Linked DNA regions of Pelodiscus sinensis. The protein of the gene in region 1 purifies or fractionates together with the protein of each later gene. This does not show direct contact. Links are inferred from orthologs where the notes say so. Each region holds a gene or a part of one and is shown in the gene's direction. Other genes may lie near its edges. The genes, in order: SYTL4 and RAB3A.

Region 1 (12,042 bases):
GTTGCAATGGCAAGAAACTGTTTTTCCTTTGTGATCCTGTCTAATATCTCTTTTGTGGGCGAAGTGTCTGAGACATTTGTCCAATGTACATAGCTGACGGACACTTTCGGCACATGATAGCATAAATTATATTTCTGGATGCGCAGGTTAGTACTTGATAATCCCCCATTCAAAGCTTGCATTAGCCCTCTTACCATCGCATCAGTTTGCGAGGATTCATATATTTGGTTGTCCGGTATGATCTCTGAGTCCTTTAGGGTGTGTCTACACAGCAGCATAATTTCGGAATAACAGCCATAAAATAAATATGAAATAACAGACGGCTTATTCCGACTTCTGTAAACCTCATTCCACAAGGAATAACGCTCATTCCAAAATAGCTATTTCGAAATAGCTGTAGTGTGGACGTTCCACTGCTGCTATTTTGAAATAGCTCCTCCCCAGGGCCATTCAAACTAATTACTCTCCAGTGCCTGCTAAGGCTCTAAATGGACATAGCACATCCACATTAGGGGAGCCTGCCTCGGACTAATTTTGAGGCTTCTCTGTAGTGTAAATGCGCTATTTTGCAATAAGCTATTTCAGAGTATTTCTTCTGGAATAGCTTATTCCTAAATAAGTGTACAGTGTAGCCGTACCCTTAGTCTTCCTCTTTCACACCCCCCATTTACATGGACTAGTCTAGGGAATGCAGAGCAGAATTCAGATATGTGAGGTCCCAAGATTAGAATTGCAGGGGGCATTGGTCTGTGTGTGCATGTGTGCACAGTTGTATATCCACAGTAGACTATCTGGGCTGCAGCATGTCAGAATTACCGTGTGCTAGGAGAGTGGTGTGTAGGCCCAGGACTGCAACTGTGATGATCGGGGGTGATGTGGGGGCGGCCAGAGAGAAACAAGGCCCGTGTGAACTGTAGGCTCACAGTGGAGGAGACTCAGGCGGCAGTCCCCACATAGACGAGCAGGCAGCTATCTACAAGGTGTGACCTGATAGGCTGTAGTGGTTGGGCCCACGTAGCTGTAATGTTCTGAATATTAGAAATGTCTCCTGGGTTAAACTTTTTTCAGTCGCTTAGGCTATGTCCACACTCGCGGCTTCTTGCACAAGAAATATGCAAATGAGGCTGAGCGTGGAATATCGCCGAGCCTCATTTGCATACCTAATGAGCCGCCAGTTTTGCAGAAGAGGCTCTTGCGCCAGAGGTAGCTGTCTACACTGCCCCTTCGTGCGCAACAGAAACCCTCTTGCGCAATGCTGTTCTTCCTGAAAAGTAATTGGTGTAACAGCATTGCGCAAGAGGGTTTTTGTTGCAAAAGAAGGGGCAGTGTAGACAGCTCCTTCTGGCACAAGCGCTTCTTCTGCAAAAATGGCGGCTGCTTAGGTATGCAAATGAAGCTCGGTGATATTCCACGCTTAGTCTCATTTGCATATTTCTCACGCAAAGACGCCGCGAGGGTAGACATAGCCTTACTGTGTCTTGTTGTATTGTACACTGGCTGTGCACTAACGTGATCCTTCTTTACTGAGTAAACTGCATGTCCCTTCCTAGGAAGGAAATACCTACATTTTCTAGATTTAGGAAAATGTTTACATTTAGGACATTCCTAAATAGGAACTAGAAGAGTGTATTGGACTCCCCTCCCAGGGTTAGAATTCACAATGCAGATCCCCACTTCTTTGAGTTTGATCTTCTCTGACTAGGCTGACGGAAGCATTCACTCCCCTCACAACATGAAAAAATGCATCACTCCTAGCAGTATTGGCTTGTGTGTGCTACCTTGGATTGCCCAACAGTAGCTCGAGGTGGGAATATGCTGCAGGTCAGGATTAAGATTAAGCGGCGGGCGGGCCCCAATACTGGATTAGCAGTGTGGTTGGAGATCAGCAGCAAGGTGCATTGGCAGTGCTGTGTGTGTGTCAGAGCTGACACCTGGCTGGCCTGCTTCGTGCCTGGCTCCAGACAAGTCCTGCCTGTCAGCCTCCTTCAGCATCACAGAGCAACTGTCAAACCCAACCTCATGCAAGGCTGTTCAGGCAGCTGCTGCTTGGTAGGATGGGTGTTCGGGGGAAAGGGGTGAGAGGGAAGCTCTGCTGTGTCACCTAAGCAAATGTTTACTGAGCAGCCATGCTCCTGAGAAGTGTCAGACACCCCCAAATCGTAATAATTGCAGGTATTCTGTATTGCTCAGGATTGGGCCCACAGCACAGCCCTTTTCATTATTGCTAAGATGGGGGGACATCCTGTTAGGGGCTCAATGTGAGTCTTTCTCAATGTGAGTGAGTTTCAGGTTGTGCGGTGTGTTACTGGGGCAGCTTTTCACCCCAGGAGAGGGGCTCAGCTGTGGCTCAGGGCAGGCCACAAAGAAAAATTAGTGGCATGGTTCTTGGCATGTGCTTAGAAATATTTGTTCATATGGCAGCAATCACCACACACAACCGGGGCAATGCCAGACAGGTCCACATTGCCCAGTGGCCTGCACCAACACTGGCCACCCCCAGCATCTGCAAAAAGCCCCAGAGTAGACAATTCAGAAATAGCCTTCCTACGGGTGTCTCACCAGCAAACTGAGTTCATTGTTGGCTTATATCTTTAGAAATAAGTTCATATCCCTTAATTTATGAAATCCTTTCATCGAACTGGATACTCTCCTTGTCCACATTCATGTCAAGCTCTTTCCTGTCTTGGAGCAGTGAGTTCCACAGATGATTATGCATCACATAAATAATGCATTTCCTTTCATCTGTTTTATATTTGCTGCTTTTCAGTGTCATTGACTGCCTGCTTGTTCTTGCATTGTGGAATGGGGTTACTGGGGTGGGGGTTGGAACAGGGCAGGCGTTGGCTCAGGGTGGGGCGATACCAGGGTTGGGAGAATGGAATAAGGCAGGTGCTGGCTCCGCATGGGGGTTACTAGGGCTGGAACATCGTGGGGGTTGGTTCCGGATGGAGTTTACCAAAGTGTGTATGGGGGGGCTGAGGCAGGGTAGGGGCTGGCTGAGGGTAACGGTAACCGGGGCAGGGTTGGCTCAGCATGGGAGTGACTTGGACTGCAGGGGCTGGAACAGCTCTGGGGTTACTAGGGCGGGGGCTGGGGGGGCTGGAATAGCTCTGGGGTTACTAGGGCGGGGGTTGGGGGGGCTGGAATAGCTCTGGGGTTACTAGGGCGGTGGTTGGGGGGCTGGAATAGCTCTGGGGTTACTAGGGCGGGGGCTGGGGGGGCTGGAATAGCTCTGGGGTTACTAGGGCGGGGGTTGGGGGGCTGGAATAGCTCTGGGGTTACTAGGGCGGGGGCTGGGGGGGCTGGAATAGCTCTGGGGTTACTAGGGCGGGGGTTGGGGGGGCTGGAATAGCTCTGGGGTTACTAGGGCGGGGGTTGGGGGGGCTGGAATAGCTCTGGGGTTACTAGGGCGGGGGCTGGGGGGCTGGAATAGCTCTGGGGTTACTAGGGCGGGGGTTGGGGGGCTGGAATAGCTCTGGGGTTACTAGGGCGGGGGTTGGGGGGCTGGAATAGCTCTGGGGTTACTAGGGCGGGGGCTGGGGGGCTGGAATAGCTCTGGGGTTACTAGGGCGGGGGTTGGGGGGCTGGAATAGCTCTGGGGTTACTAGGGCGGGGGCTGGGGGGCTGGAATAGCTCTGGGGTTACTAGGGCGGGGGCTGGGGGGCTGGAATAGCTCTGGGGTTACTAGGGCGGGGGCTGGGGGGCTGGAATAGCTCTGGGGTTACTAGGGCGGGGGTTGGGGGGCTGGAATAGCTCTGGGGTTACTAGGGCGGGGGCTGGGGGGCTGGAATAGCTCTGGGGTTACTAGGGCGGGGGTTGGGGGGCTGGAATAGCTCTGGGGTTACTAGGGCGGGGGTTGGGGGGGCTGGAATAGCTCTGGGGTTACTAGGGCGGGGGTTGGGGGGGCTGGAATAGCTCTGGGGTTACTAGGGCGGGGGCTGGGGGGGCTGGAATAGCTCTGGGGTTACTAGGGCGGGGGTTGGGGGGCTGGAATAGCTCTGGGGTTACTAGGGCGGGGGCTGGGGGGCTGGAATAGCTCTGGGGTTACTAGGGCGGGGGCTGGGGGGCTGGAATAGCTCTGGGGTTACTAGGGCGGGGGTTGGGGGGCTGGAATAGCTCTGGGGTTACTAGGGCGGGGGCTGGGGGGCTGGAATAGCTCTGGGGTTACTAGGGCGGGGACTGGGGGGCTGGAATAGCTCTGGGGTTACTAGGGCGGGGGTTGGGGGGGCTGGAATAGCTCTGGGGTTACTAGGGCGGGGGCTGGGGGGCTGGAATAGCTCTGGGGTTACTAGGGCGGGGGTTGGGGGGGCTGGAATAGCTCTGGGGTTACTAGGGCGGGGGCTGGGGGGCTGGAATAGCTCTGGGGTTACTAGGGCGGGGACTGGGGGGCTGGAATAGCTCTGGGGTTACTAGGGCGGGGGTTGGGGGGGCTGGAATAGCTCTGGGGTTACTAGGGCGGGGGCTGGGGGGCTGGAATAGCTCTGGGGTTACTAGGGCGGGGGCTGGGGGGCTGGAATAGCTCTGGGGTTACTAGGGCGGGGGCTGGCCCCGCATGGGGGTTCCCAGGGCAGGCTCAGGCTGGGGCAGGGGCTGGCTCAGGGCGGGGGTCCATTCCCGGGGCGGGAGGGGGGCGCTAGTGACCCCGTGCGCGCTCCACCCGCTGCCCCCGGCCCGCTCCCTTTCCGTCGGGCGCAGGTGAGTGGGGCGCGGCCCCTTTAAGGCTCAAGCCCCGCCCCCCGGGGGGGAAAGTTTCAGCCGGGCCGGCAGGCGCCGCAGGTAGCGCTCCGGGCCCCGCCCCCGGCTGCTGGGAGCCCCTGGAGCCGGGCGCGGCGGCGGATCGGGGCGGCGTCCGCAGGCAGGTCCCGGGGCCGGGGTGCGGGAAAGGGGCCCCCGCCTGACGCTCTGCCGGCCCTGCCCAGGGAGCCGGCCCCGGGCCCGCTGGCTGCGAGCCGCGCTTCGTGGCGCTGCGGGCGCGGCTGGGCTTTGGGAGAGCGGAGCCCGGCTGGCTGCGGACGCGTTCCCCTCCGGAGCGAGTGGTGAGCGAGCGCTGGATCGCTGTGGCCCGTGGGAATATGGGCAAGTGGCTGCAACTGCTGGAAAATTTCAGTGGTTCCATGGTTAAACCGGCTCCCAGCGCGCCCTGACTCCAGCCTGCCAGCCTGCTCCCTGCTCCCGGCGAGCCAGCTGCTGTCTCGGATACAGAGGTAGCGGCGCGGGGTGACAGCCGGCTCCCCCAGTGCAGAGGTAGCGGCGCGGGGTGACAGCCGGCTCCCCCAGTGCAGAGGTAGCGGCGCGGGGTGACAGCCGGCTCCCCCAGTGCAGAGGTAGCGGCGCGGGGTGACAGCCGGCTCCCCCAGTGCAGAGGTAGCGGCGCGGGGTGACAGCCGGCTCCCCCAGTGCAGAGGTAGCGGCGCGGGGTGACAGCCGGCTCCCCCAGTGCAGAGGTAGCGGCGCGGGGTGACAGCCGGCTCCCCCAGTGCAGAGGTAGCGGCGCGGGGTGACAGCCGGCTCCCCCAGTGCAGAGGTAGCGGCGCGGGGTGACAGCCGGCTCCCCCAATGCAGAGGTAGCGGCGCGGGGTGACAGCCGGCTCCCCCAATGCAGAGGTAGCGGCGCGGGGTGACAGCCGGCTCCCCCAATGCAGAGGTAGCGGCGCGGGGTGACAGCCGGCTCCCCTGGAGCAGAGCTGCTGTGTCTGATACAGAGGTACCAGCGTGGGGTGACAGCCGGCTCCCCCAGTGCAGAGGTAGCGGCGCGGGGTGACAGCCGGCTCCCCTGGAGCAGAGCTGCTGTGTCTGATACAGAGGTACCAGCGTGGGGTGACAGCCGGCTCCCCCAGTGCAGAGGTAGCGGCGTGGGGTGACAGCGGGTTCCCCCAGAGCGGAGCTACTGTGTCTGATACAGAGGTACCAGTGTGAGGTGGCAGCCAGCTCCCCCAGAGTGGAGCGAGAACCTGGGCAGAGCCGTGAACGTTAACCAAAATGTGCAGGGTTATTTGTTAACCGTAAACTTTACATGGTTAAACGGTCACATCCCTAGGGCAGGTGGTGCAATCCCTGTGATGCGCGGTGTGTGTGTGTGTGTGTGTGTGTGTGTGTGTGTGTGCATGGCTGCTTAAGCTGGTCCAGAATCTGCTCCCATTCCCTAATTGTTGGTTTCTAGCCCTGGGGCAGTTCAGGGAGGAGAGGAAGACTTGCAGCTTGTGTTGGGCGTGGGGAGTTTGTTTCCCTATCTGTTCAAGGGCCCCTGGTATCTTACACAGCAGTCCCAGGCTTCCTGCTGCAGGAAAGGGCCATGACTCTAATAACTCAGGTCCCTGCTTTGTTCTGCTTGTGGGAGGATGCATTCATTTCTATCTATGAGGCGAATGTCCTGTCATGAAAGAAGGAGGGCTGACATCTACCCAGATAGAAGCAGTATTTGTCTTACATGCTTGGACAGTGCTTGGTGTGCATGTGGAATCATAGCTATCGGACTGTTGTGTTGAAAGCTTCTCCACTTGATAGATGCAGGTAACCTTCCTCCAAGTCACTTTCCTAATTAGAAAACCTTAAACAACGAATAGTCTAGTAGCACTTTAAAGACTAACAAAACATGTAGATGGTATCATGAGCTTTCGTGGGCACAACCCAATTCAAACCTTCATCCATTTGCAAATATTTTCTCCCTTTGCCAGAGGTGTTCCTGTGTTGTAGCACACTGGGAGACCGGCCAACTTCAGATGGTGCAAGCAAGGTGGATTTGTTTACAGGTGCAGAGGGGTGTGTGTGTGTGTGTGTGTGTGTGTGTGTGTGGGAGTGTGTGTGGTTGGTATAACTTCTGTGGTCAGAAGGTGTAAATTGGAGAATTTCAATTCACACCTTGCAGTCACTTTTGTGTTATCCCTTTGCCATGCCATACGTCAGAAGCTTGAATCTGAGGACCCAATCCAGAGATTGTGTCGAAGCGGGTGGAGGGGTGGAACAGCTTTCATGTGAGGACAGATTAAGACAACCAGGACTGTACAGTTTAGAAGAGAGACTTCTAAGTATGGCTCTGATAGAGGTCTATAATCATGACTGAGGTGGAGAAAGTGAATAAGGAAGGGTTACTTACCCTTGGGGTAACCCATGAAGCAGGTATCAATGAAATTTATAGGCTGAATATTTAAAACAAAAGGAAATGTGGAAGTCAACTTGTGGAACTCATTGCTAGGGGAAATTGTGATGGCAAAAGTATAATGGGGTTCAAAAAAAGAATTAGACCAGCTTGTGGAAGATAAGTCCCTCAATGGCTATTAGCCAAGAGAGTTGGGGCCATGCTTTGGGTAGTCCTAAACTTCTGACAGTTGGAAGCTGGGACTGGATGGTAGGGGATGGATCATGTGATAAATTGCCCTGTTCTGTTCATTCCCTCTGAAGCACCTGACACTGGCTGCTACTGGAAGACAGGATACTGGGCTGCGTGGACCCCGTATGTCGGCTTGTCTGACCCCGTATGTTCATTCTTACAGTCTAAAGCCGTGGTGTCCAATGTGCTTGCTATCATGTCTGTTGCTTCAGAACTGGTTGGACGCCACGGTTCTAAAGGGTCTGGGTTACGTGTAGGAAAGTGAGAGTTTCAAGTCCAGCTGTTGTAATGCATATGCAGAGTGGATTAGAAGCAGGTGCGATCTAAAGAGGTAAGCCCTCCCTCTGTATGAACCAGAGTTGGCCCCGAGTGTATGCACTTAAACGTAGGCGAGGGAGGGTTCTTGCCTTTCCTATGCAGTTCCACATACAGAGAAGCTGGGCAGTCCCAGACCTTGTGTGGAAGTAAGGCAATGCCAGACACTTGGTTGGCTTCCCCTGGGTTGAAGGGAAGCCGTCAAGAAGCCGTGGAGCTGTGTAGCTACAGGAGAATAGAGCAGTGGCCCTTCAAAACTGGATTGAGATGGCTCTTTGGAGGTGGAAGCGGGTGCGTCTGAGTCCGGTTCTGGAGGGTGCAGTGTTCCTAAGGAAGAATCAAACTCCCCTCCCTTCACCCAGCAGACCAAGGAGCAAGCATCGGCGGGGGAGAAGGAGGGTTGGAAGTGTAGTGAGCAGAGAGCATATGGCTAGGCTAGGGGAGGTCCCCTTAGAGAGAACTGGCTTCCCATCAGAAGCAAGAGCTTCCTCAACTGGTTCAGCTTCATTCTTTCTCTTCCTGGTCACTGGGGTGTAAGCCGACACTGCACAGCGAGAGGAAAGGGAGCTGACCTCTTTGCATGGCACTCCTGGGCTTATGCAAAACAGCCTCCACTGCTCTGGCCTGGGTCCTTTCCCGCATCTGAGTGTGACCGTTCCATCTTCAAGTGGTGGCCCTTCTCAGCAACCAAAGTTTGGAGCAGGGGCCCTGGCAGTGAATGTCAGGGAGGATACTGGAATAGGTGGGACCGCCACGAACAAAAGAGCCTTCTGGGGCAGCTGCGCTAACGAGAGAGCTCATCAAACTCCTCAGAAGGAAAGATTCAACGTTCCTCTGTCTGGGTGCATGATTGGCATCTTAGTGTTAGTCGGAGCAAAGATCGGTCCGGACCATCTCCGGATCACCTGAGGCCAAGACGAATACTCCTGAATATAGAACAAAAAGGGAAAATGCTTGTCCCTCTGCACACCTGCCTTAGGACACCTAAGTAATTTAGAAAAGCCAATTCTAAACAAACAATCTAAGCAACTTCCATCCTCTCCCAGCCTGGCCAGTGCTCCAGCTGGCCTAGGAGCTGCTGCTGTTGATTTTCCTCAGATTTAGGACTTTAGGCAGCCATCAGACCAGAGCTTCTCTGTGAGGGAAAGTGCCACCTTGGAGTTGAAAAGGAGAGACCAGATGAGGGCATCCCCAAAGCCTGCTGATTGTGGGAGAGTTGAGGGTGTTTATTCAGCCCTTGGGAGCCCAAACCTTATGCTGCAGTAAATGTGGAAATGGCCAGCCTAGTTGTGATTTAGAGAGAGCCCAGATCTACATCCTGCTTCTTAGATCAAATCCCAGTAGCTGATACGGACTCGGAGCAAGGTGTGAGTTGGAGGATTACATTCTGAGTAGGACAGTGGGCATGGAGTAGGAAATGAATCGGCGTGTACAAGCATGTTGCTGGCAGGGAGACTGGCGTTACTTTGCTTGTTTCTGGATGCTCGATCTAAGTGCCGGTCGCTGGGGTACGAGGCTTGCCAGGATAACCAGCAAACTGCAAGTTGTGAAGTAAGAAGTGCACCTCGAGGGTCCAATCCCTGACAGGGCAGAGAGATGGCTTCAGTCAGGCTTGGTAGTTCAGATAACCCACTTACGCTCCCTATTGCTTTTGTTCTTATTGCTGCTCTTTGTTGCTTTCCTTTTAGCACCCAGATTCTAGCTTCTTGCATGTTTGTAGAGCAAGGCTGTTTAAAGGAACAGGGACAGTTTAAAATTCACGTTACGTTTCTTACGAACCTAAATAAAGGGCATCTTGGATTATTAAAAACGGAGTTTTAACTGGTTTTCAATGTTGTTTTGCTTGAACAATGGCCAGTTGATCAGTTTCACTTGCCAGTTCTCACATGCATTAGCACAGTACTGGGAACCAAAGGGTGATGCTTTTTAAACGTTCCTGGCAGCGTTACTAGTGATCTCAGAATCTTGTAAAAATCTTTCTCTTTTTAATGAAGAAACAAAATATTGAAGCCAAATCCTTTGTCTTTGACACCACCCTTTTGCAGTGGAAATGGTGGGCCTTTTTAAAACTACTACAGCACACTTAATAGACTGAGAAGGGGACTAAGGAACCAGCAAAGATGAGTTCTGTAGTAGAAGTGTCTCTTTAGAGTGCTGAGGTTTGTTTGACCTTTCGTTAAAGAGGTGGTTTACAAAATGGGGTGAGAATTTTTTTCACACCTGGTAAGTTACAATCTAACAATGCAACCTATTTTTGCTTAGTGTCTTCAATACGGAAGATGTACTTGTCTATCTAGGGCAGTTAACGAATGACTTGCTCTGTCTTGACTTGTGTTCTCGAGTTCATTCATAGGTAGGACCACACTAAATTCACGGTCCATTTTGATCAATGTCATGGGCATAGGATTTAAAAAAAAGTCATGATTTCAGCTGTTAAAATCTGATATTTCACCTTGATGTAATTGTAGGGGTCCTGACCCCCAAAAGAAGTGGTGTATGTGGCAAGGTTAACGTAGGGGGGTGGTAGTACTGCCACCTTTCTGCACAGCTGCTGGCAGTGCTGCCTTCAGAGCTGGGCAGCGGTGGCTGATGGCCAGAATCCCAGTTCTGCAGGCAGACCTGCTGCCAGCAGCAGTGCAGAAGCACAGATGGCAGGATAGGATACTGCCACCCTTAGTTCTATGCCGCCCTGAAGGCAAAGCAGAAGTAAAGGGGACTCCCTCACCCCTTCAGCTCTTTTGATCAGGGCTCTCAATCTGAGAAATGCGAGCCTCCCCATGAAATCTATGTGATATAGGGTAAACGCACCCACAAGGTCCGGGATTCGTTTTTCGTGGCCGTGAGTTTGTTAGGGCCCTTTTCATAGGCAAAGCCGAAGGCCCGGGTTGGCTTTCTTTTATATTTCAAAACAAAACTTTAACCCCCCTACCCCAAACACGTTTGAGCTGGAACGGAATGAGATTCGAGACCGCCTTCCCGGAGTCCTGGCCACCTGCTCCCACGGAATCTCTGAAGTCCAGCCCAGCTGTAGCCATGACAACCGAGTGTGATGTCATCTCGGAGGCAGGAAGGTCACTCCGGCAGCATCGGGAATGTGAACTTCCTGCAGGCAGTGGGGAAAATGCACCCCGGGAGAAAGCAGGGGTCCAGACGAGGAAATGAGCCAGCAAGGCTCGGCGTGAGCCAGGCAGGGACGGCGCTCGCGCTGCTCTCAATAGCCGTGTCTGCTTGCTGTCGTGTGCCACGCAGCCCCCGGGAGCCTGCTCCTGCCATGGGGGAGGGATGATTCCGAAGGCTCTTGCTTGGTGCTTTGCTGCCGTGATTCTGCTGGGCTGAGCTGGGACAGGAAGTGACCTAGATATGGGCCTAGATTTACAGAAATCGTGCTCATGGCAGCTTATAGAGGGGCCTGATCTTTTTGTTCGTTTGCCTTCTCTGGGCTCAGAGGGGAGTCTCGTAGGCCAGGTCCTCACCTCCATGGAGCTGGGGAGGGGTGTGGGGCTCAGACTCTTGGGCAGGTGCCAGCAGGGAGGAGCAGTGCTATAGCTCTGAACTCCAGTCCATCCTGCTCTTCCCTCCGTCGGCCCCCTCGGTCTGGACGCAGGCAGGAAATGCCAAGCGCGCTGGTGGAATGACTCAGCCACTGGATGGTTCCACCGAGGCTCATTAAGGCCACGTGCAGGGAGCCAGGTGCTCCCAAACACGGAACCTTGTGTATTGGGCACTGGGCGGGCCGGCTCCTAGGCCAGGGCAGGATGCCGGGATCCTGCTGTTGTGACTAATGCACGGAGCACCGGGGACTCCCTGCAGCCTCGCTTTGAGGTGGGCCCCACGGCCGCAGTGAGGGGCAGTCGGACGACTGGGGGGTCAAGGCGTTATTGCTTCGTACAAATCCCCAGTGGGTTACGGGACCCCAGGCACTTGGCTGGACTAACTTGCTAACTTGCCCCCAGCTCTGAGGAGTCCAGCGGCTGCCAGGGGAGGGCCGGCAGGTCATGAGAAAAGCCATGTCGGAGGCTATGGACCTGTCCTTCCTGTCGGAGGCTGAGAGGGAGGTGATCCTGCAAGTCCTGCAGCGAGATGAAGAGCTCCGCAAAGCGGAAGAGAAAAGGATCAGGTGAGAGCCTTCCCCTGGCAGGCCCTGCTGCCTTACAGGCAAAACCCGCCAGGCCAGCATGTAGCAGGGTGGGGACGGGTCTTTCTGCCCTGCTGGTGTTGTGCCCTGCCCTTCCTGGAGGGGGAAATGGGTGGTGGTAGCTGCCCAGGCATCACTGCCCTGTTCGGACCCGCTTGGAGGGGCAGCCTCGACTCCGCTCCCAGGCCTGCGTGTGGGTTTAGCGGCTCCCGGGCGTGTGTCCCCGACAGGCGGCTGAAGAACGAGCTGCTGGAGATCCGGCGCA
Region 2 (12,042 bases), on another chromosome or scaffold:
GATATTTCCCCGATTTCTACCCATGTGACAGCACTTTTAATGAGCAATGACAGTCCAGGAATTTAACTACTAAAAGGCATCCCATCAGAAGACCATTATATTGACGACTTTTTTGTTTTGGCTCCCACCTGTGGGCGGCATTGAGTCGCCCTGCAAGTTCATTGACAAGCCCTTTGTTACCTTAATCACCCTGCCTCCCTGTGGCTATAAACAATCCCCTGCCCCAAAGGCAAAGCTGGGAGCAGCACAAGCTGGTTGAAACACATTTCCAAGCCCAGCGCTTTGCAAACTTTTTTTCTCATGACCCAGTTGAAGAAAATCGCTGATGCCACAACCCGACATCATGTGACTGGCGTGCAGGCTCTGGGGCAGGGCTGAGGCTGGGCTTTGGGCTGCAGGAGGGGGCTCCGGCTTTGCGGGGGTCATGGGTAGGACAAGTGGGACTTACCTTGAGCGGCTCCCGGGCAGCGGAGGGGGCTAAGACAGCTTCCTGTCTCTCCTGACACCGCAGACCATGCTGCCCCCAGAAGCAGCCGGCAGCAGGTTCCCAGCCAATGGGAGTGTGGAGCTAGTGCTCAGGGCAGGGGCAGTGCACTGAGTCCTGGATGCTCTCCCCCCACATCTAGGAGCTGGGCCTGCTGCGGCCGCTTCTGGGGCGCAGCGCAGTCTGCGGTGCCGAGCTGCCTTAGCTCCCCCCGCTGCTCACCAGATCCCCCTGCAGCTACGAGACCCAGCGCCAAACACCCAGGCCTGGGTTGCGATCTGTAATTTGAAAACCCCTGGCCTAGCCCCAGGCACAGCTCTGCACATACATAAGAACATAAGAACGGCCGTACTGGGTCAGACCAAAGGTCCATCTAGCCCAGTATCCTGTCTGCCGACAGTGGCCAGCACCAGATGCCCCAGAGAGGGTGGACCGAAGACAATGATCAAGCGATTTGTCTCCTGCCATCTCTCTCCAGCCTCTGACAATCAGAGGCCAAGGACACCATTTTATCCCCTGGCTAATAGCCTTTTATGGACCTAACCTCCAGGAAATTATCTAGCTTCTCTTTAAACTCTATTATAGTCCTAGCCTTCACAGCCTCCTCTGGCAAGGAGTTCCATAGGTTGACTACATGCTATGTGAAGAAGAACTTTCTTTTATTAGTTTTAAACCTGCTACCCATTCATTTCATTTGGTGTCCTCTAGTTCTTCTATTTAGGGAACTAATAAATAACTTTTCTTTATCGGTCCTCTCCATACCACTCATGATTTTATAGACCTCTGTCATATCCCCCCTCAGGGTGTGTCTAGACTACATGCCTCCTTCGACGGAGGCATGTAGATTAGCCAGATCGGAAGAGGGAAATGAAGCCGCGATTAAAATAATCGCGGCTTCATTTAAATTTAAATGGCTGCCCCGATCTGCCGATCAGCTGTTTGTCGGCAGATCGGGGGAGTCTGGACGCGATGCCCCGACAAAGAAGCCTTTCTTCATCGACACAGGTAAGCCTCGTGAAACCAGGTTTACCTGTGCCGATGAAGAAAGGCTTCTTTGTCGGGGCATCGCGTCCAGACTCCCCCGATCTGCCGACAAACAGCTGATCGGCAGATCGGGGCAGCCATTTAAATTTAAATGAAGCCGCGATTATTTTAATCGCGGCTTCATTTCCCTCTTCCGATCTGGCTAATCTACATGCCTCCGTCGAAGGAGGCATGTAGTCTAGACACACCCTCAGTCTCCTCTTTTCTAAACTGAAGCAGACCTCAAGTGTGAAATTTAGAGACTCCAACTTTTGGGGGGGTGGAGCCCTTGACCCCTCAATGGCGCCCCCGGGATGCTCTGTGCTGCGTTGTTTCCCAGCCTGCTTTGGGGGGACCCTCCTGAGCGGCTGCAGGGCCCCATGTTCTCTGGGGACTGCTCCTAGCCCCAGTTGATGCTTTGGAGGTGACGAGATGATTCCGGGGTGACTCAGGGGGTGCTGTTCCCGGCTCTTGGGCAGGTAAAGTGAGCTGGGCTGTGACTCAGGGGACTCACTGCCTGAAGCCGCTGCGGCTGAAAACAGCAGCATGTGTGACATACGGTGCTTCCATCTAATCCCCCCCATGGTTCGCCTGAGCCCTTTGGGACAGGCCGCTGGCTGGGCCTCAGGGACCAGCCAAGCCAGAGGCTGTCCCAGGCAGTGCTGGCCCTAGGAGCAGGGCTCAGGGCGGCTGTGACCCAGCAGGGCAACCTTCCCCTGAAACACTTCGCTTAGCTCTCCCAGGAGCCCAGGTTGGGATAAATGGAAGTGACCGAGGTTAGGGGCCATAGACCTCCCCAGCTTGGAGAGCAGGTGGGGGGTAGGGTTGCCAGGTGTCCAGTATTCACCCGGACAGGAAATACCCAGGAAATACCGGACATGTGCAATGTGACATGTGCAATGTCCGGTATTTCCTGTTTCCCTGGGATGGAAGCCCGGCGGGGACAATGTTCCCCTGCCGCGTCCGGCAGGGGCGGGGGAGTAAGGCGCGCAGCATAAGAACGTAAGAACATAAGAACGGCCGTACTGGGTCAGACCAAAGGTCCATCTAGCCCAGTATCCTGTCTACCGACAGTGGCCAGCACCAGGTGCCCCAGAGAGGGTGGACCGAAGACAATGATCAAGCGATTTGTCTCCTGCCATCCCTCTCCAGCCTCTGACAAACAGAGGCCAAGGACACCATTTTATCCCCTGGCTAATAGCCTTTTATGGACCTAACCTCCATGAATTTATCCAGCTTCTCTTTAAACTCTATTATAGTCCTAGCCTTCACAGCCTCCTCTGGCAAGGAGTTCCACAGGTTGACAACACAAGAACTTTCTTTTATTAGTTTTAAACCTGCTACCCATTAATTTCATTTGGTGTCCTCTAGTTCTTCTATTATGGGAACTAATAAATAACTTTTCTTTATCAGCCCTCTCCACACCACTCATGATTTTATAATTGACAGCAGAGTGGCAGCGGAGGCAGGAGGGGGCAGTTCCTGGGTGCCACACTAGGGGGTGCTGATCTGGGGTGGGAGCAGAGTGCAGGCTGCTCTGGCCCAGGTGACCAGCAGAGCCCCGGGAGCTGGCCATGTGACGCCTCCCTCAACACCAGCTGCCTCCCAAAAGTGACATGTCAGGACGGGAGTGGACCTGGGGCGGCTTGCACCATCGGCCTGTGGGGGGATGGCATGTCGAGATAGAACAGGCTGTGACGGCTTGTACCACCATCCTCTGGGGGGATAACATGTCTGGACATGGGGGGTGGCCTGTACCACCGTCCTGCGGGGGGATGACTTGTTGCGATAGAAGAACAGGCTATGATGGCTTGTACCACTGCCCCATGGGGGGGATGACATGTCCGGACAGGGGAGCAGGCCTGGGGCAGCCCGTACCATCAGCCTGTGGGGGGATGACATCTTGAGATAGAACAGGCTGTGACGGCTTGTACCACCATCCTCTGGGGGGATAACATGTCTGGACATAGGGGGTGGCCTGTACCACCGTCCTGCGGGGGGATGACTTGTTGCGATAGAAGAACAGGCTATGATGGCTTGTACCACTGCCCCATGGGGGGGATGACATGTCCGGACAGGGGAGCAGGCCTGGGGCAGCCCGTACCATCAGCCTGTGGGGGGATGACATGTTGAGATAGAACAGGCTGTGACAGCTTGTACCACCATCCTCTGGGGGGATAACATGTCTGGACATAGGGGGTGGCCTGTACCACCGTCCTGCGGGGGGATGACTTGTTGCGATAGAAGAACAGGCTATGATGGCGTGTACCACTGCCCCATGGGGGGGATGACATGTCTGGACAGGGGAGTGGGCCTGGGGCGGCCTGTACCACCATCCCACAGGGGGGATGACACATCAGGACAGAGAAGCAGGCTGGGGTGGCTTGTACCACAGTCCATACGGGGATGACATGTCCAGATAGGAGGGTGGGCCTTGGCTGGCCTGTACCATCATCCCACGGGGGAAGCAGGGGAGCAGGCCTGGGGTGGCTTGAACCACGGTCCCATGGGGGGGATGACATGTAAGGGGGAGCAGCTTCAGGTGGTTTGTACCACTATCTCCTCTGGAGGCAGGTGGGAACTGTGACAGAAGAGGTGGCATATGGTGGCTTGTACCATTATCCCTTGTGGGGGGGGTGACTGTTGTGACAGGGAGATGTGTGCTGGCTTGCTGTGGCGGGTCTGTTGCATGGTGTGAGTTGGCTCATACCACTGCCCCGTGTGCAGGGTGGTGCCCTGTCATGACAGTGGCGAGGGTGAGAACCAGCTCATACCACTTGTCCTTGGAGGTGTGGGATAGATCTTGATAAAGGAGATGAAGTGTGGTGGCTCGTACCACTGCCCCATGGTGGGGGGGGGGCACGTCACGTGGCTATGACAGCCATTGAACCAGGCCAGCTGGCCTCCCTAGGAGGCTGGAGGCGGTGGGCCCGCGAAAGGACCGATAGGTGCACCCGTGGGCTGTCAATCATTAGTGCGAGCCCAATAGAAGCACAGGACTGGGCAGGAGTCCCGCCCCTGCCTGAGGAGCCTGAAGGAGAAGCTCGGAATGGGTCGTCTCCGGCCTCCTGACGTCACTCTGTCATCTGCATATCGGTCCCCGCCCCCTTTGGAATGCTGGCGACGTCAGCAGGGCTCTGCAATTGCCGGGGCCGCGCGCGCTGCTGCTGCATTTGGTGCAAGAGGAGCCCGGGGAGCGCGATCTGGAGGTGAGCGCGCGCCCCCCCCCCGTTTCCTCCCCGGGTGCCCCCGCGTGCAGGGCGATAATCTTCATTTGACACCTGCGGGGGGGGTGATGCGCCGGGAGGGGCTCGTGGCTGCACGGAGCGCAGGGGGGAAGCGAGCAGGGTGCTCGGTCCCTGCTGCTGGGCGGGGGGGGGGGGGGGGATGCTGAGTGCACCTAGCAAAGCAATGGGGGGGGGGGCGATGTACACAAATCGCTCCGGCTGCTGCAAGCACACAGCCCTGCCCTCTGCAAGGAGGGAGGGGGGGGGGGGTATGATCAGCCTTCTGCATCCATTTCCGTCTCAGGCCGCCCGGGGGGGCTGCGTGCAATGAGCTTCCGCCCCCCCCCCCACCTGTGCTGCGCGTCTGGCGTGGCCTCCTGCCTCTCCTAGGCTTGGAGTGGAGGTGATGGGCCGTTGTCGGGGCTTGCATCCCCCGCATCCATCCCAGTGGTTTGCCGAGCCCTGCAAAGGTGCTTTCTCCGCTGGGGAGGTGGGGAAGCCTGGAGGGGCAGGGAGCCGAATAGGGACCCTCGGCCCTAGCTGAGACCTTTCTCTTTGGTGCCAGGTCAGAAGACTGGGGCTGGAAGAATAACAGATCCAGAGGAGCCATTCTGTGCATGAAGCCTTTTCTGCCAGTGATGGGAGGGGGGGGAGGATGCTAACTGATGCTGCTGCTGGTTAAGGATGTTTTAATATGAATGATTGATGGCAAGGCGGAGACTCAGGCAACTGAATAGCTTGAATCCACCTGCATCCACTCCACCCCTCCGCCTCTGACAGTCATTTATTAACGCATCCAACCAAGCATGCCACCGAGTTGGCCGTCCAGTGCGGTGGTGTATAAGGTTACTGCATTGCTCACGCTTTGAAGGGTGGCATAATTCACTTCCCATGTGCCTACTGCTGCTTTTAAAATAGCAAAATGGATGGGGTGGGGGGGAGCGACTGTTTGCCTGGGCGGCGGTGCTGTCGTGACGCTTGCGTGGCGAAGGTGAGCCAGGGAACGGGGTGGCCTGCCTGCAGCGAGGGGTGTTTCGTAGGTGATCGCAAAGAATGAAATTTCCAGAAAAACACAGCGAGGGAGCTGGAGAATAGGGCTCGCTACTAGGGCAGAAGCTTCTGGTACAACATTATGATGAACCCTGCTAGCTCGACATGACAGACTACAGAACAAAACTGATTGTCTCAGTCCGTATCGGCTACCTCCCTCAGAAAAACATTAGCTCCTGAAAGATCCTCCATGCCCAGGTCCTAGGTAGTGCCTGGGTCCTCTTTCCCTCACTACATAAGGTGCCCTGCCTAGCTCAGGAGAATGCTCAGACTTTATCAACCCAAAGCTGCCTCCACCCCAAGCCTGGCTCCGCACAGGTGACCAGTGTCTGTTGTTTTACACCAGGATGCCGTGACGTTATGGAGAACCTTGCCACAGACCCATGACAAATAGAAGGGCCCCTAGTGCTCTGTCCAGGGGCATTACAGAAACAGAGTCTGTCTCCAAGTCTGTCGAATAGTGATAGAAATGTAGCCGTGTTAGTCTGGGGTAGCTGAAGCAAAATGCAGGACAATGTAGCACTTGAAAGACTAACAAGATGGTTTATTAGATGATGAGCTTTCGTGGGCCAGACCCACTTCCTCAGATCAAAATCAAAATTTTGATCTGAGGAAGTGGGTCTGGCCCACGAAAGCTCATCATCTAATAAACCATCTTGTTAGTCTTTCAAGTGCTACATTGTCCTGCATTTTGCTCCAAGTCTGTCGGCATTGTACCTTCTCTTGTGTCCCATAGGGTGGGATTTGTTCAGATGTGTCTTGGTTTGGGGCTTGGCAGGAGAGAGCTGCTTTTACTTGGGTGGCACACACTAAGTCGGGGGGCAGCGGGACTTGTAGGGAATCTCCTTCCCTTTCTCCTGGGGGCTGGGATCTGCGTGTGCCTGTCATGGGAGGGTTGTGTTCTTCTGCGGATTGTCTAATACAAAGGCTTGGAGACAACATACAGCAAAGCTGCATATCGGTTTTGAGTACTGTAATTAAAATGCACTGGAGGAGCTTTTTCACTAAGCGACTGGCTTAATGTAGCAATAAAATGTTTCTGTAAATATGAACTTGGTCCCCAAGGGCCAAATGACTAATATTATGTCGAGGACCATTATTTGAGTTAAATTGCACATTGTTGAAATGGGTTAAGTGACTAGCTGGGTTGCATAGTTCCCGTTGGATCTGGATTGCTGACAGAGTGGCAGTGTAAACAGGATTTATTCATACAGAGGGTGGTGAAAACCACATGTTCAGAGGTTTTCTCCTGTTCGGCTTTCAAGAAATGGAGCAGTGCCGATTTCTCTTAGCTGGAAATTATCTCTTTCTCTCCCCCCCCCCCAAAAAAAACCCCCAACAACTCTGAATTGTGCTTCCAGCTCAGTACACCATTAAAACTTCCCGACTGTATGTATGCACAGTCATAACTGCCCAGTCCAATAAGTCCCACTGTTCCCTATTTTGGGTGTCTTTAGACTCGGGACCGCATGTGTCAAACAAATAAATCCTCCTGGGTGAGTTTATAAACCCCGTTTGACAATGGGAATCAGTGGCTCTGTATTTCTGGGTGAATTTTGCCCTCAAAAATTTAGTTGCTCAATTTTGCCTTGTGCATCTAATGCACACTGCATTGTGTGCACTCTTCCTTTGGGTCTGCTGCCTGTCACCATATTGCTTGAATATCAAGTGATGAAAGACTAAAACAAAGGTACAGGAAATGGGATTAGAGAATCAAAGCAGGATTCTCCCCAGCAGTGAATATGAATGAGGTTGTAAGGTCACGTTTCCTGATATTATTTCTCACAGAGAGGAGGGGGAAAAATTCCTTTGTGGATGACCTTAAAACAGACAGTAAAGGGCGAAAACCTGTACACCCCTTTGCAGGCAGTACCCCACATACTTCAATCTGGAAGCTAATAGCTCATGCTGCTGTGCATTCTGGTACTACTCAGATGAATCGTAGGACTGGAATGGACATCGAGTCCAGTCTCCTGCCCTCACGGCAGGACGAAGGACTATCTTAGCCGTTCCCGACAGGCGAAGAGGAATCTAATCTCTGTTTTATAAACAGGGCTAGGGAAACGTTCCCAGAGATTTGGAACTATCAGCCAGGGTCTGCTCATCTGGAGAGCTTCCTGCCCATTGCAGGCGGGGGGGGGGGGGGGGGGGTGCCGCTGTTCTTCTTCCCATCTCGTGTCTGGTGCCCTCCCTGCTGCAGGAACATGACCTTGTTCTTGAGTTTCCCTGTGGTGCTGAGTCTAAATGCTTGAAACTGACGGGCCTCGTCTGCTGCTGGAGAAGAACCGGGCTCTGCAGCAGAGGCATTGGAAAGGTCTCTGCAAATTCAGGAAGGTGCTCTTGCATCTCCTCCTACTCTTCCCCACGCTGGAAAGTGTAGGGTTACCCCTTCCCCAGGGTTGCAGAGGGGTCAAGGGGCTGTCCCTGATGAACCTTTTGAGGCACATGGGCAGGGGGGTCTCCAATCAGCCTGGGAAGGCTCGTGGCAGGTTCTCCCTAGGTCCTTCTGGCCTTGGAATCTCCTGCAGGCATCTAGTGTTGAAAACGGGCCCCAGAATCATTCCCAGAGCAGGTCTTGTCAAACATCCCTTCTCTCCTCCCCATCCTCCACGGAGCTGCAGGGGTCCTGTGTGCACAGGGGCCTTGGGACGGGCACCAGGGTATTCACCTCAGGTGGAGGGGTGCTTTTTTTGGAAATGTGGACCACAAAGGTGTGAATGCACCCCCATGGCCCCCCAAGTAAGCAGGGATATGAGCCCCAGCCTTCCCCCGGCCGGGCAGAGCATGGAGGAGGGAGGCTTGTCTGCCCCTAGCCAGCTGGAGCATGCTTCCTTGGGGGATCTTGCTGGGGGGGGGGGGTTGCACCCTTCACGTGTCTCCTTTACCTCCCTCTGGCAGGGCTGGGTCTCCGCTCAGTTGCGGTGTTCTGCTGTTTACATTGCAATAGTCCCTCAAGGCCTTAGCCAGGCTGGGCACAGTTGTGCTAAGCACTGTGCCAACGCACAACCCCTGGAGAGACGAGTTAAAGCTTTGAGGTCTGGCTCTGCAGGGAGGAGTTAGGGAGCACAACCATGTCTACACTGGGAAGGGGGGATAGCGGTGTCGTTATGGCCCCATAGTGCAGCTCCGTGGTGGGCAACCTGGGGGCTGTATGCAGCCCCTCGGGGTTCTACACATGGCCCGTGAGACCGTCTGTTTACCGTCGCTCGCGGGTGCCGGATTCCGCGGTTTCTGTCCACGTTGTTTTTTCCTACTGGTGTTACTAACATAACACGCACGTAAAGCAAAGGCATGGGACGTGGGGTGCAGGCTGATTACGCACCGCACTGACTGGGAGAGCCGTGCACCCCCTTTGCCTCCAATCACAGCGCTGCCACGGTTCAGTCGGCACCCCCTGCAAATGCCAGGCCCGCAAGCGCCGTGAGCAAAACAACCCTTTTCCGGAAGACCGTCTTGGTTACAGCAATCTTGTGGCCCAGAGATGGAGGCTCACTAGCCTCGGGTGCCCATTGCTGGGGTAGAAACAGCCTCCGTGTACAGAAGAGTTCTTCCTGTCGGTGCAGGAGCGCTGCCCCCGTGTGACAATTACCTAGGTCGCTGGAGGGCAGAGCTGTCTTTAGGATTTACAGTTCCCTTTGCCTGGTGGTAGCTGGGCAGGAGATGACGTGATTTTTACCCTCTTCAGCAACACACTATGAAATAGTTTAAAGCAAATTTGATCCTAAAGTCTGGTCAACTAACCCAGTAAATTCAGGACAATGTAGCACTTTAAAGACTAACAAGATGGTTTATTAGGTGATGAGCTTTCGTGGGCCAGACCCACTTCCTCAGATCAAATAGTGGAAGAAAATAGTCATAACCATAGATACCAAAGGATACAATTTAAAAAAAAGTGAACACACATGAAAAGGACAAATCACATTACAGAACAGAGGGGGGATGTGGGGGGGCGGGGGGGGGGGAAGGAAGGTGAATGCCAGTGAGTTAATGATATTAGAGGTGGGGAAAGAAAGATGTCTGTGAGTTAATAGTATTAGAGGTGATAATTGGGGAAGCTATCTTTGTAATGGGTAAGATAGTTGGAGTCTTTGTTAATTCCTCTGTGGAGAGTGTCGAATTTTAGCATGGATGCCAGTTCAGAGGATTCCCTTTCAAGTGAAGATTTGAATGTCTTCTGAAGTAGGATGCAGGTTAGCAGGTCATTCAGACAGTGTCCTTTCTGGTTGAAATGACAAGCAACTGTTTTTTCTTTAGCAAAATGCAGGACAATGGAGCACTTTAAAGACTAACAAGATGGTTTATTAGATGATGAGCTTTCGTGGGCCAGACCCACTTCCTCAGGTCTGGCCCACGAAAGCTCATCATCTAATAAACCATCTTGTTAGTCTTTAAAGTGCTACATTGTCCTGCATTTTGCTTCAGCTACCCCAGACTAACACGGCTACATTTCTATCACTGTTTTTTCTTTGTGATCCTGTCTAATGTCTGTTTTGTGGGCATTGATTCTTTGGCGAAGTGTCTGAGACGTTTGTCCAATTGTCCCTAAATTGTATCCTTTGGTATATATGGTTGTGACTATTTTCTTCCATTATTTGATCTGAGGAAGTGGGTCTGGCCCACGAAAGCTCATCATCTAATAAACCATCTTGTTAGTCTTTAAAGTGCTACATTGTCCTGCATTTTGCTTCAGCTACACCAGACTAACACGGCTACATTTCTATCAGAAACAGACACGCTATCCCAGGAGCTGACACATGCCTTTTTCTGGGGCTTCACTGCTACCTGACTGGCTCTTTCCCAGATCTCTGGCTGGATTTTAACTTTTCAGTTAACTTGCTTCCTCCTGAGAGGGTCTGAGTCACAGAGCAGGAATCGGAAGAGGCAGATGGGGAGGAGGGGAGACATTAAGACCCAGCAATGCCCCAACTTTTCGGGCGCCCAACACAGGGGCCTATTCTGCCTGTGGGTCCGGACGGCTCTGCCGGAGGGCACGTCAATGCAGCCCTTGGAGGTGTGATTGCAGCGCACTCACACGTGGCTAAAAACAGCAGTGAGGAACTAGCACCCCGAGCTTCAGCGTGGGCGCATGATGCATGTGTGTCCCCAGCGTGCGTGCACCGTTGACGCCGAAGCCCTGAAGCGCAGGACAGGTGGGGCTCCCGACCCTGCCCTAGCGCGTGGGGCAGGCGGGCCTGGGTGAATGGAGCCCCCACATCCCCTGCAATGTGGGACAGGTACCAGCCAGCACCTACATTCCAGCCAGAGGCCGTCCTGATCAGCTGTTTGTCGGCTCAGCGTGCTAGTCTGGACGCTCCCGTGCCGACCTGAAAGCCCTTTATCGACCTCCCCGTTCTGCCTCGTAGGATGAGGTTTACCGGGGAGGTCGATAAAGGGCTTTCATGTTGGCAGGGGAGCATCCAGACTAGCGCGCTGAGCCAAAAAACAGCCGATCATCTGTTTGTCGGCTCAGCGCGGCAGCCATGTAAATTTAAATGAAGCCGCGATTATTTAAATCGCGGCTTCATTTCCCTCTGCCGAACAAACAAATCTACATGGCTCCGTCGACGGAGCCATGTCATTTCGACGTACCCATAGAGACGAACAGATGTTTTGGAGCATGAGCTTTCGTGGGCAAAGACCCATTTCGTCAGATGTGTGTCTGGAGACAGAAGAGGAGAAGTAAGGCACCCCTGGGGACAGAACATGGGTAGGGCCAGGCTGTTGGCCTCCCCCGGCCTATGGCACCCCCTTCCCATGCCACGCCTAACTTCATGTAGATGGTTTCGGCTGCTGCCAGCACCAGTTTGACCCGGGCGTGGAGGCCTGGCTTTGCAGTGGTTCGGCCGCCTCTCTAACCCACCAGGCTGCGGGAACAGCACCGTACATGGATCAAAGGCCCGCGCTGGCTGGCTGCCCTCAAGAAGGAAATTGGAACCTTATCTCTTCGTGCAAGCTGTTCGCGTCAAAGATTTCTCTCTAGAGGAAGCTTATCGAATGGGGAAAACATGGCGGTGCCCTTGGACTGATATTTTTCAGGGAGCATTAATTTCTAGCGGGTGGGGAGGGGGAGAGATTTGCCTCTGGGCCTAGTAACAACAGACCTCTTGGATCTACTCGGGTATTCAGAGCTCTTGAGTTCTCCCAGAGCAAGAGTGTTGGCCGGTGCTGTCTGCCCTGTGGCATCCCTGGAAAACGTCGTGGCACAGAGCTGCCCTTGGGACGCAGGGGTTTTCTTGGGGTTGTGCAGAAGTCCTGGGG

What was found.
Region 2: the proteins of SYTL4 (region 1) and RAB3A purify together in Homo sapiens (affinity purification with mass spectrometry; 3 studies listed by BioGRID and IntAct, counting the BioPlex papers as one, with this or other methods). This does not show direct contact. The link is inferred for Pelodiscus sinensis from reciprocal best matches to the Homo sapiens genes SYTL4 and RAB3A.

The regions. Positions count from the first base shown.
Region 1 is NC_134723.1:4,978,579-4,990,620, forward strand, and holds the start of SYTL4 (synaptotagmin-like protein 4), read left to right. Parts: upstream 1-4,719; 5' UTR 4,720-4,855; intron 4,856-4,863; exon of another isoform or gene 4,864-5,036; intron 5,037-5,073; exon of another isoform or gene 5,074-5,204; intron 5,205-10,674; exon of another isoform or gene 10,675-10,829; intron 10,830-11,595; 5' UTR 11,596-11,637; coding exon 11,638-11,759; intron 11,760-12,007; coding exon 12,008-12,042. UniProt on the Homo sapiens protein: Modulates exocytosis of dense-core granules and secretion of hormones in the pancreas and the pituitary. Interacts with vesicles containing negatively charged phospholipids in a Ca(2+)-independent manner.
Region 2 is NC_134729.1:20,223,912-20,235,953, forward strand, and holds the start of RAB3A (ras-related protein Rab-3A), read left to right. Parts: upstream 1-4,557; 5' UTR 4,558-4,716; intron 4,717-12,042. UniProt on the Homo sapiens protein: The small GTPases Rab are key regulators of intracellular membrane trafficking, from the formation of transport vesicles to their fusion with membranes.